4 linked regions of the Saccharomyces cerevisiae S288C genome follow. Changing the gene in region 1 together with any one later gene gives a genetic interaction. Each region holds a gene or a part of one and is shown in the gene's direction. Other genes may lie near its edges.

What was found.
Region 2: mutations in FMT1 (region 1) and SNZ1 together harm fitness less than expected from each alone (positive genetic interaction), as found in Saccharomyces cerevisiae (2 studies listed by BioGRID).
Region 3: mutations in FMT1 (region 1) and PDE2 together harm fitness more than expected from each alone (negative genetic interaction), as found in Saccharomyces cerevisiae (3 studies listed by BioGRID).
Region 4: mutations in FMT1 (region 1) and IPK1 together harm fitness more than expected from each alone (negative genetic interaction), as found in Saccharomyces cerevisiae (3 studies listed by BioGRID).

The regions. Positions count from the first base shown.
Region 1 is NC_001134.8:200,507-203,761, forward strand, and holds FMT1 (methionyl-tRNA formyltransferase), read left to right. Parts: upstream 1-1,549; coding exon 1,550-2,755; downstream 2,756-3,255. Other genes in the region: RRN6 (Rrn6p), read right to left, coding at 1-1,242; bifunctional glycerol-3-phosphate/glycerone-phosphate O-acyltransferase SCT1, read left to right, coding at 3,032-3,255. UniProt on the Saccharomyces cerevisiae protein: Formylates methionyl-tRNA in mitochondria and the cytoplasm. Responsible for the formylation of the 8 N-terminally formylated (Nt-formylated) mitochondrial matrix proteins that are encoded by mitochondrial DNA.
Region 2 is NC_001145.3:456,337-460,318, forward strand, and holds SNZ1 (pyridoxine biosynthesis protein SNZ1), read left to right. Parts: upstream 1-2,071; coding exon 2,072-2,965; downstream 2,966-3,982. Other genes in the region: CTF13 (Ctf13p), read left to right, coding at 1-925; SNO1 (putative pyridoxal 5'-phosphate synthase), read right to left, coding at 949-1,623; putative GTPase MTG1, read right to left, coding at 3,088-3,982. UniProt on the Saccharomyces cerevisiae protein: Catalyzes the formation of pyridoxal 5'-phosphate from ribose 5-phosphate (RBP), glyceraldehyde 3-phosphate (G3P) and ammonia. The ammonia is provided by a SNO isoform.
Region 3 is NC_001147.6:1,012,328-1,016,844, reverse strand, and holds PDE2 (3',5'-cyclic-nucleotide phosphodiesterase PDE2), read left to right. Parts: upstream 1-2,023; coding exon 2,024-3,604; downstream 3,605-4,517. Other genes in the region: PRT1 (translation initiation factor eIF3 core subunit b), read left to right, coding at 1-1,484; VTS1 (Vts1p), read right to left, coding at 4,085-4,517. UniProt on the Saccharomyces cerevisiae protein: Controls the level of cAMP in yeast cells, together with the low-affinity cAMP phosphodiesterase (PDE1).
Region 4 is NC_001136.10:1,092,241-1,095,452, reverse strand, and holds IPK1 (inositol pentakisphosphate 2-kinase), read left to right. Parts: upstream 1-1,866; coding exon 1,867-2,712; downstream 2,713-3,212. Other genes in the region: OMS1 (putative RNA methyltransferase), read right to left, coding at 275-1,690; RAD34 (Rad34p), read left to right, coding at 2,942-3,212. UniProt on the Saccharomyces cerevisiae protein: Has kinase activity and phosphorylates inositol-1,3,4,5,6-pentakisphosphate (Ins(1,3,4,5,6)P5) to produce 1,2,3,4,5,6-hexakisphosphate (InsP6), also known as phytate.

The DNA.
Region 1 (3,255 bases):
AATACCATTTTTATCATCTATCCGCTTATAATCACGTATGTTTGACCATGCTTTCGCTTGTACTACTTCCGTTTGCCAATTGTTCATAAAGTCGATCTCAATCATTTTGGACCTATCAAAGACCAGTATTTTTTGGAAGTGTGAAAACCATTCTATTCTTTTCCATGACGATAATTCTTCTGGATCAAAAATCGTACCGTGGAGGTTATCTATTAACTGTAGTTTCCTTTTGTTATTATTATTGAAATTCTTTGGTATCCTCCCGATACTCCAGTTACCTTTTATATCAATGATTGCGAATTGTTGTAAGTCCCAAGGATTGAATGCAAAATCTACCACCTGAAGGTCGTCTATTTCAACAAAATACAGTGGTTCTGAACTACTAACCATGACATCACATGATCTTGAGTGGACACTTTCAATTCTAAAGATTTGGAAAGAATTTTCGGTGATTATGCCCACCAGGTTTGATCTCCGCCCGATGGACTCAGAGGCCCCCGGTATCTTAATACTCTTGATAGGTGAATGCAATTCGATACTCGTTACATTGTTATGTCGGTTTAAATGCAATGTATTTTGTCGTGTCAGAACTGCTATATTTAGGACTGAGCCTGTTTTACCCGAGGCATATGCTATGATTTCGGTTCCGTCTCTATAATTTCTTAAATCTGATGCTGTCTGAATATATTGAGAGTCCAGTCGATTAGCCACAGTAGGATCCCAAAAGAAGGCGTCTTGCATCGGCCTCGAAGAGTTAGTACTTTCTTGTAATGTATCATCTAAGTTGCGCAGCAAATCTGAAGGAATGTAATCTTGAAATGAAACTGGCGTATCGCAGTTCACACCAAACATAGAATCATTACCAACGTCAACTTTCTTAAAAAAATGGACATCTTTCGGTACCACGGGTATCACTGGATTGACCACTATAGATGTATCCCCCTGATTGTCCGTATCTTCATCAATATCGCTAGTTATGAGATCATCGTCGGCATCTGATTCTTGCAAAACCTTGTCGTCGGAAATATATCTTATGGCAGTATCACAAAGCAGACTTTTGACCACTATATGAAGGTCTAGTGCATCCTCGGCCAATGTATCATCTACTGGTCTTAGCCATTGTGGCTTTTCTTGCTTCTTCGTAGTGTAATTTTCTTGCGGACAGTAAAGACTGGCGCCTTGTACACCAACACCCAATTGCGAGCCTAACACATCTGAGCTTGGAATTTGTCCCTCACTCATGCTCAGCCCATAGAACGCCTTCTCTCTTTACTTCAACTTGCCACATCAATATCATTACCAAACTAATATGAAAGCTCATCTCGGTTTCTTAATCGAGAGAATAAAAATTATCGTATGCCCACAGGGTAACCCATATTTATATCAAATGGAAGAAGCGTCCATTAAGAAAAAAGCAAAAAAAGCTGTACCTGCTATTATGGAGAGGAGTAAGCGCTTTTCTCATTAACGTAAAAAGAGAGGTAAGAAAAAAAAGGAAGGGGACCTAGGCACCTCATAGTGAGAAGATTGAAAACGGCGTATCAAACAAATGGTTAAAATGAGAAGAATAACACCTACACGCCTCCTATTCACATGCAGATATATTTCAAACAATGCTTCTCCACCAGTGCAGCCCTTGAATGTGCTTTTCTTTGGTAGCGACACTTTCAGTAATTTCTCATTGCAAGCACTCAATGAGTTGCGTCAAAATAATGGAAGCTGTGGTATAGTGGACAATATTCAAGTAGTAACTAGGTCGCCGAAGTGGTGCGGTAGACAGAAGTCTATTTTGAAATACCCGCCGATCTTCGATATGGCAGAGAAGCTTCAATTGCCACGCCCAATTACATGCGACACCAAGCAGGAAATGTTGGCGCTAAGCAAACTGACACCCAGTCGCCAAGGAAATCCGGAGAACGACGGCTCCGGTGCTCCGTTCAACGCGATCATTGCGGTTTCTTTTGGGAAGCTCATTCCGGGTGACTTGATCCGCGCGGTGCCATTGGCGCTAAACGTCCATCCTTCGCTACTTCCCAGACATAAAGGCAGTGCACCTATCCAGCGAGCTCTGCTCGAGGGTGACACTTACACCGGTGTAACTATACAGACACTGCATCCGGATCGGTTTGACCATGGTGCAATTGTAGCGCAGACGGAGCCACTGGCGATCGCAACAATGCTGTCAAAAGGGAGAGTCAATGATTCGACGGCAGATTTTAATTCTGAGGGCCTGCCTCGGAGGACTGCCATACTGATGGACCAGTTGGGCGCCCTTGGCGCCCAACTTTTGGGCCAAACGCTTCGTGAGAGGTTATATCTACCACAGAACCGTGTGCAAGCGCCAACAGCTTACAAACCCAGTTACGCCCACCGTATAACAACAGAAGATAAACGCATTCATTGGGCGCGCGATTCTGCCGCCGAACTACTTAACAAACTCGAAACGCTCGGTCCTCTGCACGCGTTCAAAGAAGCGACAGCGGCAAGAAAGGACGCTCAAAATTCAGTATTAAAACGAATATTGTTTCATGAGTGTAAAGTGATGAGAGACGCACGTCTAGATAATGGCAGTAAACCGGGCATGTTCAAATATGATGATATTAAAGACTGTATTTTGGTCACCTGTCGCGGCAACTTACTACTATGTGTGAGCCGCCTCCAGTTCGAAGGTTTCGCCGTAGAACGTGCTGGCCAGTTCATGGCGCGCCTGCGGAAAAGATGCGGCGCCCTGAGTGAAAAGTTAGTTTTCCTGTAACCCGGCTCTACATTCCTCTTTTAGTATTCTTCTTCTCCCTTCTTTCAATCCCTCATCCATCGGTCTCTCAACAACTATGGCTGCCAAGCCCTACGCGCTATGAAGAAAAAGAAAAGTAGGCCCGCCTTCTTTCCCAGTTGCAGTTTATTTATGATTCGGAAAGATTGATGTTAGTAATGGCTTGTAGTTCATAACAGAGTGAATTAAGTGTAGGAAGCCCGGAATTAAATATATAGTAAAAAGAGCACAGGGGCGTTTACATCGGGGTAAAAAAAAATGCCTGCACCAAAACTCACGGAGAAATTTGCCTCTTCCAAGAGCACACAGAAAACTACGAATTACAGTTCCATCGAGGCCAAAAGCGTCAAGACGTCGGCTGATCAGGCATACATCTACCAAGAGCCTAGCGCTACCAAGAAGATACTTTACTCCATCGCCACATGGCTGTTGTACAACATCTTCCACTGCTTCTTTAGAGAAATCAGAGGCCGGGGCAGTTT
Region 2 (3,982 bases), on another chromosome or scaffold:
CATTGATAATCTAACTCCACAACTAGTAGACAAATGCTTATCAATTTTAGAACAGAAAGATTTATTCGCAACAATCGGGGAGGTACAATTTGGACAAGATGAAGAAGTAGGAGAAGAGAAAGATGTTGATGTTAGTGGAGCTAATTCTGACGAAAACTCCTCACCTAGCTCCACAATTAAAAACAAGAAAAGGTCAGCATCCAAAAGATCACATTCAGATAATGGCAATGTGGGAGCAACGCACAACCAACTAACAAGTATTTCTGTTATAAGAACAATAAGAAGTATGGAATCCATGAAGAGCCTGCGGAAGATCACTGTGAGAGGAGAGAAATTATATGAGTTGCTAATAAATTTTCATGGGTTCAGAGACAATCCTGGTAAAACGATTAGTTACATAGTGAAACGTAGGATAAATGAAATACGCCTATCACGCATGAATCAAATTTCCAGAACCGGACTAGCTGACTTTACAAGATGGGACAACTTGCAAAAGCTTGTATTAAGTAGAGTAGCTTACATCGACCTGAATAGCATTGTCTTTCCCAAAAATTTTAAATCTCTGACAATGAAACGTGTAAGTAAAATCAAGTGGTGGAACATCGAGGAAAATATACTAAAGGAACTAAAAGTCGATAAGAGAACTTTTAAATCGTTGTACATAAAGGAAGATGATAGTAAATTCACAAAATTTTTTAATTTACGACACACAAGAATAAAAGAGCTTGACAAAAGTGAAATTAATCAAATAACATACCTTCGATGTCAAGCAATAGTTTGGCTATCTTTTCGGACTTTGAACCATATCAAGCTACAAAATGTATCTGAAGTTTTTAACAATATCATCGTACCTAGAGCATTGTTCGATAGTAAACGAGTAGAGATTTATCGATGTGAAAAAATCTCTCAGGTTTTGGTAATATAAAAATGTGGAAAACCGGCGGTATTTTAATTAGAAACAAACTGTCTGATAAACCAATCATGAAATCTTGTATCACTGTCAGCAAGCTCTGGATGAAAAGAAGTCACAAGGATATTATGATTTTGCGTTGCAGCTACAACCACATCCTTTCCATTCACTGGCAATTCATATAAACTTTTAACCGCGATAGGATCAAGAATTCTCTCGATCACGGGTGCGCGAATAAATGTAGCAGGAAAATTATCACAGCCAGGTATGAAATTGGAAAAATCACACTTTTGTGTAAAAGATTGAGCTTGTCTTCCAAATGCGTTTCTTCTCACGTCGACCTTCAACACACCTAAAGTCTTTACTAGGGCACTTTCGTTTTCTAATTGCGCGCTTAAAAAGATGAGACCAGCACAAGTACCCCAAACTACCTTTTCCGGATTATGAACAAATTCGTATAAACAAGGATATAAGCCTGTTCTTTGAGCGATGAGGGACATCGACGTAGATTCTCCTCCGGGAATAATTAAGGCGTCGCACTGGGCTAGATCCTCAGGAGTTTTTACAGTTTTGATTTCTATCTTTATTCCGTAGTCGTTTTCAGCCAAACACCTTTTTAAATGGTTGGTATGCTCCAAAAAGGCACCTTGCAACGCCAAAACCCCAATTACTTTCATCGACTTTCCGGACATTGTACTGTGGGTTTTGTGCATACTTTAAGATATGGTTTTTCTTTCTATTTAACGAAATGAAATAATAAGAAAAAAAAACCTGGTGGCATCAACGTGATTTTTGGAAGAAAGAATAAAACATTCAAAGAGTTCGTGACCAGTTATTGCTGATAAATGCCGTTTACTGACTCAGTTGGAATTTATGGCACTAGTTGGAATAGCTCATCATGACATAATGACTCAGCCGACAAGGGTAAGGGTTGAAAGCCGGGCTTTTTCACTACTTTTCAGGTAGCGCCGCCATTTCTTCATGACTCTGACACACTCTGCCGCACCGTTAGTTACGTCTGTAATTCTGGCTGCGAAGTACCATTTTCGATATAAATAGGAGGACGCTGAGAGCTATGGACGAAGTCTATGGTATTGTTGGAGAAACCTTTAGGAACGACTAGCAAATATACACAGTACTAATATTCAGTTAATTATCACGATGACTGGAGAAGACTTTAAGATCAAGAGTGGTCTCGCCCAAATGTTAAAAGGTGGCGTTATTATGGATGTTGTTACTCCAGAGCAGGCAAAAATAGCTGAAAAATCTGGTGCATGTGCGGTAATGGCATTAGAATCCATCCCAGCAGATATGCGTAAGTCAGGAAAGGTTTGCCGCATGTCAGATCCGAAGATGATTAAGGACATCATGAACTCCGTTTCCATTCCCGTCATGGCTAAGGTAAGGATTGGCCATTTTGTTGAAGCTCAAATTATTGAGGCATTGGAAGTTGACTATATTGACGAAAGTGAAGTCTTGACTCCTGCTGATTGGACTCACCACATTGAAAAGGACAAATTCAAAGTTCCATTTGTTTGTGGCGCTAAAGACTTAGGTGAAGCTTTGAGAAGAATTAATGAAGGCGCCGCTATGATTCGTACCAAGGGTGAAGCTGGAACGGGCGATGTCTCTGAAGCCGTCAAGCATATAAGGAGAATTACAGAGGAGATAAAGGCGTGCCAACAATTGAAGAGCGAAGATGACATTGCAAAAGTTGCTGAGGAAATGAGGGTACCAGTTTCTTTGCTGAAAGATGTTTTAGAAAAAGGTAAGTTGCCAGTAGTAAATTTTGCTGCAGGTGGTGTAGCAACGCCAGCCGATGCCGCATTGTTAATGCAGTTGGGTTGTGATGGTGTGTTTGTTGGCTCAGGAATTTTTAAATCATCTAATCCTGTAAGGTTGGCCACTGCAGTAGTAGAGGCTACCACTCACTTTGACAATCCCAGCAAATTGTTGGAAGTATCTAGTGACTTAGGAGAGTTAATGGGTGGTGTATCAATCGAATCTATTAGTCATGCTTCCAATGGAGTAAGACTTTCCGAAATTGGGTGGTGATTTCTTTGAACAGGTATTTTGAGCATTATAACACTTTTTCCCCCCTCAACTTTGTATTACTCGGTACACATTGTAAAATGATCTAATTATTAGATAAGCTTATGTATGCTGGATATTATTTACTAGAATACTTGATTGGGGTTCCCTTTTAGTTTGTTAGACAATCCCTCATACGAAAGATCTCCTAACTTTTCCAATTGATCATTTACATAGTTTTTATAAGAAAACTCGTCATTATTCAACAGTACCTCAGGGTCAAATATGATACCCTTTCCATGCAACCTCCATTTGTTAGTCCACTCGATAGCCGTTGATTTTTCATTTTGGCTTTTATTCACTTGAAGCCTTCTTAAAACATCATATATATCATTTGTGGGAGAATTGGTGCTTCCAGGGTAAAGCTCTGTTCTTCCATCGTTCAAATTTTGCAAGTTCATTAGGTATAAAAGGTAATCCGCTTGAAATATTGGATCTACAAGGTTATTTTTAACACTACCACACAACGCCAGTCCTAGCATTCTATTATGATCTGAAACGCGACCGGGAACACCGATTCCTGGAGTATCTATCAAGTATATTTCATTTCTTGATTCCGTATTCCGTGAAGTTACTCTAATAACCTCGCTTGTGGCTCTAGTAACACCAGCTTCTGCACCAGTTTTGGCTACTTTCTTAAATTTTCTTCCCATATTCACTTGATTGTGAAAAATTGTCCTCAAGCTATTTATTAAAGTAGATTTTCCAACATTTGGCATGCCAGTAATCAATGCTCGGTATCCCATAGGTAGATATCCGCCATTTGTTTCTAGTTCGTAATTTTGCCATTCTAGTATTTTTAGTAGATTCCTGACGTCAGTTTTGTTTCGGCAATCCAGTAAAATAAACTTTTCTCCCAGCTCTTCATGCCAATTCTTTAACTTTCCTATATATGGCTTATTGCCGGGCATAAGATCCTTTCTAGTGTATACCACTAATTTCATCACATCGTGTTCCTTTCTTGCTATTCGATCGAAAACC
Region 3 (4,517 bases), on another chromosome or scaffold:
CAGATGTAAGAAACTCTTCCGTCTCTCCGAATGAAAAGTACCTGGTCACTTTCTCCACGGAACCAATCATTGTAGAAGAAGATAACGAATTCTCTCCATTTACCAAGAAAAATGAGGGTCATCAATTATGCATCTGGGACATTGCTTCTGGTCTGTTGATGGCAACTTTCCCAGTGATAAAGAGCCCATATCTGAAATGGCCTTTAGTTAGATGGTCTTATAATGATAAATATTGTGCTCGTATGGTTGGAGACAGTTTAATAGTTCACGATGCTACTAAAAACTTCATGCCATTAGAAGCTAAGGCTTTGAAGCCTTCTGGTATTAGAGATTTCTCATTTGCTCCAGAAGGTGTTAAATTACAACCATTCAGAAACGGTGACGAGCCTTCTGTTTTATTGGCTTATTGGACTCCTGAGACTAATAATTCCGCTTGTACTGCTACCATTGCTGAAGTTCCTCGCGGTAGAGTGCTAAAAACCGTTAACTTAGTTCAAGTCTCCAACGTAACTCTGCACTGGCAAAACCAAGCTGAGTTCCTGTGCTTCAATGTCGAACGTCACACAAAGTCTGGTAAGACTCAATTCAGTAATCTACAAATTTGTAGGTTGACTGAAAGAGATATACCAGTTGAAAAGGTTGAATTGAAAGATAGTGTCTTTGAATTCGGTTGGGAACCCCACGGAAATAGATTTGTTACAATTTCTGTTCATGAAGTAGCTGATATGAATTATGCTATCCCAGCAAATACAATCAGATTTTACGCTCCAGAAACTAAAGAAAAGACTGACGTAATTAAAAGATGGAGCTTGGTCAAAGAAATTCCAAAAACTTTTGCCAACACTGTTTCTTGGTCTCCAGCGGGTAGATTTGTGGTTGTAGGTGCTTTAGTGGGTCCAAACATGCGTAGATCAGACCTACAATTTTACGATATGGACTATCCAGGTGAAAAGAATATTAATGACAATAATGATGTTTCAGCTTCTTTGAAAGATGTTGCTCATCCTACCTACTCTGCGGCTACTAATATCACTTGGGATCCATCTGGTAGATACGTTACCGCATGGTCAAGTTCTTTGAAACACAAGGTGGAGCATGGTTACAAAATTTTCAATATTGCTGGTAACTTAGTTAAAGAAGACATCATTGCTGGCTTCAAGAACTTTGCCTGGAGACCAAGGCCAGCTTCCATTTTGTCTAACGCCGAAAGGAAAAAGGTTAGGAAAAACTTGAGGGAATGGTCTGCCCAATTCGAAGAGCAAGATGCAATGGAAGCTGACACCGCCATGAGAGATTTGATTCTACACCAACGTGAATTATTGAAGCAATGGACCGAATATAGAGAAAAAATTGGCCAAGAAATGGAAAAATCTATGAATTTCAAAATCTTTGACGTTCAACCAGAAGATGCCAGCGATGACTTTACCACCATCGAAGAGATAGTTGAAGAAGTTTTGGAAGAAACAAAGGAAAAGGTCGAATAAATTTCATGAACTTACGGGCTTGTATGTAAACTAACAACAATATCTAGTATAAGTATGAGAATTAGTCTAATATTCATAAATACTACAATAGGCTCTATTATCTTTGTAATCTGCAGGGGTCGCTCTCCTCGTACAAAATTATAAAAGGGTCCTGCGTCCTTTTCTAGTTGCACTTTTCTTTTTTTGTTCTCCGAGAATTTCTTTTTACTGGGCACAATTTTTCCTCTTTTCTTTTTGTTTTAGGCATTATAAAGAAGAAAAATTGGCTTAGAGAGAATATACTTGCAAATTGAAAACTATAGTCACTGTGAGAGATTGGACTAAAAAGCGCAAATTTGAGATAAAGTGGGATCTTCCTGATATTAGCTGTCGTTACTGGTTTTAGCACGAGTTACCGACTATTTTGCGTTTTTCTTTTAAATTATTTTGTTGTCCCTCTTTATCTTTTGCACTGACGCTTTATTAGCCACTAATTAGAGTATCCAGACATTCTTTTTGAGATCACTACTACTTAATTGAAGAAAACATAACCTATTGATATGTCCACCCTTTTTCTGATTGGAATACACGAGATTGAGAAATCTCAAACAATTGTACAGAATGAACACTATTTTGATAGAGTGATTGAGCTTCAAGATTTGGATTCTCTGATGGTAGCATTGTATAAGGACAGAGTTTCGCCTTTTCCAAACGTCCATAACTTTGAAACGGGCGTATCTATAGTTCTTTATGACCCTTCAAAATTTCAATTATCTGTGCGACAATTGGATGTTCTATTCAAGCGATTTTTCCCATCTTTCAATATTTCTGCGATAGATCATACACGAGAGGAAAACCTGCAACGTCTTGAATGTGTTGAGCGTGAAAATAGCATCTGTCGTAATAGAATAACGAGAATTAACCACTGGATGTATCACCATCATGATGATACTCCAGACGGTATTAACAAAAACAGCTATGGTACTGTAAATGGGAATTCTGTCCCCACTCAAGCATGTGAAGCAAACATTTACACTTTATTATTGCATTTGAATGATTCCAAGGCACAACATTTACGAAAGGCATCAGTGCCAAGGCTAATTCGCAACATCGAGTTTATGTCTTTTTTGTCAGATCCAATAGAAAAAATTTCTCAAGAGGGATCACATTATTGGAACATTCTATCAACTTGGGACTTTTGTGCTTTATCATTAAGCACTCAAGAATTGATTTGGTGCGGGTTCACGCTTATCAAAAAGTTATCTAAGGATGCAAAAGTACTCATTGCAGATAATAAGTTACTGCTACTACTATTTACTTTAGAATCATCCTATCATCAAGTTAACAAATTTCACAATTTTAGGCATGCCATCGATGTCATGCAAGCCACATGGCGATTGTGTACATATCTTCTTAAAGATAATCCTGTACAAACATTACTGTTGTGTATGGCTGCCATAGGTCATGATGTCGGTCATCCTGGGACTAACAATCAACTATTGTGCAACTGTGAATCAGAGGTTGCTCAAAATTTCAAAAATGTCTCTATCTTGGAGAATTTTCACAGGGAATTATTTCAACAATTGCTATCAGAGCATTGGCCTCAATTGCTATCTATCTCCAAAAAAAAATTTGATTTTATTTCCGAGGCTATTCTGGCCACAGATATGGCATTGCATTCTCAGTATGAGGATAGATTAATGCATGAAAACCCAATGAAACAAATCACTTTGATATCTCTAATTATTAAAGCTGCAGACATCTCTAATGTGACGAGAACCTTGTCAATATCAGCACGTTGGGCATACCTCATTACTCTCGAATTTAATGATTGCGCTCTTTTGGAAACATTTCATAAAGCTCACCGCCCAGAACAAGACTGTTTTGGCGATTCATACAAGAATGTTGATTCTCCGAAAGAAGATTTGGAATCAATTCAAAATATTTTGGTGAACGTAACAGACCCTGATGATATTATCAAAGACCATCCGCATATTCCAAACGGTCAAATATTTTTCATTAATACGTTTGCTGAAGTATTTTTCAACGCATTAAGTCAAAAATTCTCAGGATTAAAATTTTTAAGCGATAATGTCAAAATCAATAAAGAATACTGGATGAAACACAAGAAACCACAATAGCAAGAATATCAAAATTTCTTGTACCATTCATTGTATAAACATATAAATATATACATTTACTACTAGTATATTTCCTTTTGTGAAGTATTTGTGCTAAAATTCATTACCCATTTTATTTTTTTTTCAAATATGCGTTCTTCCTTTAATATTGTATAATAATAACCCAGTTGATTATGGCTATTGTCTGTTTTAAGTGATATATATATATATATATAGATACATACATTAAATTTATTTTTCTTTGATTAAATTAATGTTTTTTAGTATAGTGATACATATTTCCCGAGTTAAAAGTTAAGTAAATAGTTTTATGCCATTAAACGGTGCAAAAACAGGTGTAATCTAAAATATTAAACTCCATAAAAGAAAACGTTAAAATTACAAAATAAATGAAATATGTTCCCTGTGTTGGTATATGCAAAGTAAATAAAAATTAAATCTTTATGCAACGTCAAGACAATCAACTTTATTATGCCAGATTTAATAAGCAGATCTATCAATTAAATCACGTTCTTTGTAATCAATAACGATTCCAAAAGCCTTCAACAATTTTCTCCTTGCACCCAAGGCAAGAACGCCTTTTTTTTCTAAAGTCTCGTCATCTAAGTAAATCAATTCGATCCACGGGGTTCCGCTTAAGGCATCTGAATACTTGTGTAGTCTTAACGATTTTAACCACATGGGTATATTTTTTAGTAGCTTGGGGTCTGTCAAACTCTTTGGATTCATCGAAGAGTTACTCGATAAAGGAGTGTTTCCGTTAGATGATGTAGATGTCGATGTGGCACTTGTAGGACCAGCATTAGGATGCGTAATGGTATTATTGAACACGTTCTGGTTGGACTTATTCAAATCAGTTCCTGATGGTCTTGAAGTATTCGAAAAATATGAGGTGGTATTATGCAGAGGATGA
Region 4 (3,212 bases), on another chromosome or scaffold:
GCTCAGTTGGGAGAGCGCCAGACTGAAGAAAAAACTTTGGTCAAGATATCTGGAGGTCCTGTGTTCGATCCACAGAGTTCGCATTTTTATTTTTTCCCAGTGACGCAATTTTTGGATTGTTAATAATAGCGTCGTTACGTCACATATGGTCAGTATGATCACTTTAGAAGTAAGGAGAACTACCTAAGGGGTTTTAGATCACATTTTAACTTGCTTACTGAAATATTTACACGATTCTAAGCCTGTATAAAATTCATTGGTATGAATAAATATGTTAACTTTTACTTACAGGAGGTACTGGCTCAAGTTCTTTTTTAGATGCCATATCGTCTTTTTTTTCGAATGATTCCATTCTCTTTCTAATACTTGATTGCAAGTATTTTTCTACAAACCCAAGCTCGTCTTTCTTTTTCACATCACCTTTTCTCTTTGCAACGATACACCAAGTAGTGCCTAAGTGAGTCCGTTTTTCTTCCACCAATTCTAGGTCAGAATCATCTAACACTTCGCCTAAGTCGAGATTCCATCGACAGCCCCAAGTATTCAGTCTTCTTTCAGCTCTGTTGTCTAATATCTTATTTATAAAATCGTATTGACCTCTACCATGTTCCAGTAAAATAATTCTTCCATCTGGCTTTAATAACTTGCCAAAATTATTAAGTGCCTTAACCGGATCTTCATGGGAACACAAACCAAACGCCTCCACGATAGTATCATATTTTACTTGGTTTTCCTTTTCATTCTCTAGAGAGGGCTTACCTTTCTCTGCTAAGTCTACTAGATTTTCCGCCTTTCCAACAACAAATGCAACTTTTTTATACTTAGGAAACTTTTCTCGGAATTTTTTATGTGTAATTTCCATCATATTTTCAGAAGAGTCTAAGAATGTTATAGAGTTGATGCGTGACATATCAAGGTACTTGATATTTCTTCCTGTACCGCATGAAACTTCCAAAACATCCCCTTGACAATGTTTCATTAACCATTTCCTTCTTTTACCGAGAAATATTACTCTCTCTTCCATATTAATTGCCTTATCATATTCGTTAGCTTTTTCTTGGTAAAAGTTTGTTGTGTCTCTTGCTGGCAATATTTGTTCATTCAATTTGTTTTGATCAAAATTCTGTACCCGAATATCATCGAAGTTTTCAATGCCTTCTTCTTGCATTTTTTTGTATTCTTCTAATTTCAATTCATCTCTCCTCCTTAGTTTTCCTTTCAATTCTTTAATCCTTAATGCTTCGTATTCATTGGCATTCCCTTCTTCTTGTTTCTTCAACAATCTTTCCAGTTCTTTGTCTTTCGCAAACAGTTTTTTGGTAAAGAAGAGACCATAGATTAAAAATATCACATAAGCACCGATCATGTACTTGGTCATTCCCTTTGAAAACTTTTCTGATCTCGCAATAGCTCCCCACCTCACAAATCTATTAGGTGACCTCAGTTGTTCTTCGAACCTCTCTTTGGCCAATTCTTCTTTTGTTTTTTGCTTACGAATGACTCTATTGCTATTCATTTGGAAAACATTTTTAAGCTTTTTTTTACTTTTATCATCATCAATGTGGCTGCTGTTATATTTATAAGATGTAAAAGATAATGATCGCCTTTGTGATTCCAACAAAAGACTCCTGGATGCCGGTTGTCGAATGTGATGTAAAAGGCACGTAGGAAAGCGACGAAATACGATCATCCTCACTTACTTATGGTTTTCTTGTTCGTTCCTCAGTGGTTTATTTATCGAAGATATTTTCACAAGGTACTTTTTTGATGCGGTCCCATTTAGGGTTTCCAAAATTAATTCGAACCGTGATATGCTACCAGTCGAAAATTGTCAGAGATAAGTTCCTTTTTTGAAAAGAAAGATCGATGCAAGTCATCGGACGTGGTGGGGCAAATATACTGATTGATTATGGGGATCCTACGTGGTTGTGGCGATGCTGCATCCGTTGGCCCGATCTGTTATCATCAAATAATTCTTATACAATCAAAAACATCAGTTATATTAAAGATTATGTAGAACCTCTTCTACATGGCTTGCTTTGCCCGATGTATCTGATTGACGTCGATATAGAAGCTATAAGGCCAATTCTCAGTGACTTTATTCTAAATTTAGACGATAAGGTAGTCAAAGTTATCAAAATTAAAAATCTCACCAATAATACCTCAAATCTGATATTAAATAACCACTTTTTAAAATCTTATTGTTCACAAAATCTGCAAACAGTTATTTTAGAATTGAAGCCTAAATGGTTATACTATGATACAGATTACTGTAGGAACTGTACTCATAATGCATTTAAGGGTAGAGGCACTAAGTACTGTTACAATCAATTACTAATGAATCCAGCACACTTGGAATTAATATTTGGAGAATGTAATATATTTCCGGTTAAGTTTAAAGATGCCATGCATGAGTACTTGCGCAATGACAATAACATTTTCAAGATCCTTTATGATTTACAGAAAAAACTTACAAAGAACACAACTCCAATAAGTGACATAAAATCAATCAACGATGTAAACGATGAGCATCTGCTACTCATGACACTCAGAGACGTGACATGTTTCATTGAATGGAACAGTGCTGAAAATGCGTTGCACGTGAATATAATAGATGTAGATCTAAAGCCAAAAGAAAAATGGACCCATTGGACAAAAACTTACAGCCAGTTGACATCAAGCCAAAAAATTTATCATACTTCAAATAAATAAACTGTATACTTTTCTTTCCACCTTTGGTACTGGCAGATGCACATACATTACCATTTGTAAAATATATGGATAGATAAGTATTTTTTTTTTCTAGTGGCCCTCTGGAAAATGTAAATAATAAAACGGAAAACACACAAGCCAGGGTGAATGACCAAATTCGATATTCAACGAAGGGTCAAACCTTGAAACCTAGCATACATGAGTTTAAGGAATAGTGAGAAGAAAAGTAATGGCCAAGAGACTGTTAGAATCAAGCCAAAATGATCAGGCCAATCGAAAAAACTCAAAGATTGAGAAGAAAGAAGTATCGTTTTATGAGGAGGAAGAAACAGATGATTCTTTTGATAGTTTTTACCAGGATGAAGAAGATGATTTAAGTGATATTGATTGGGAAGAAGTTTCTTTAGATGGAAGCTTAACTGTCACATTTGGCAATATACGCAGAGACAGGGAGAAAGTCAGCAAGTACAAAAGAAAGCATAATAAAAAAGCATTCAATT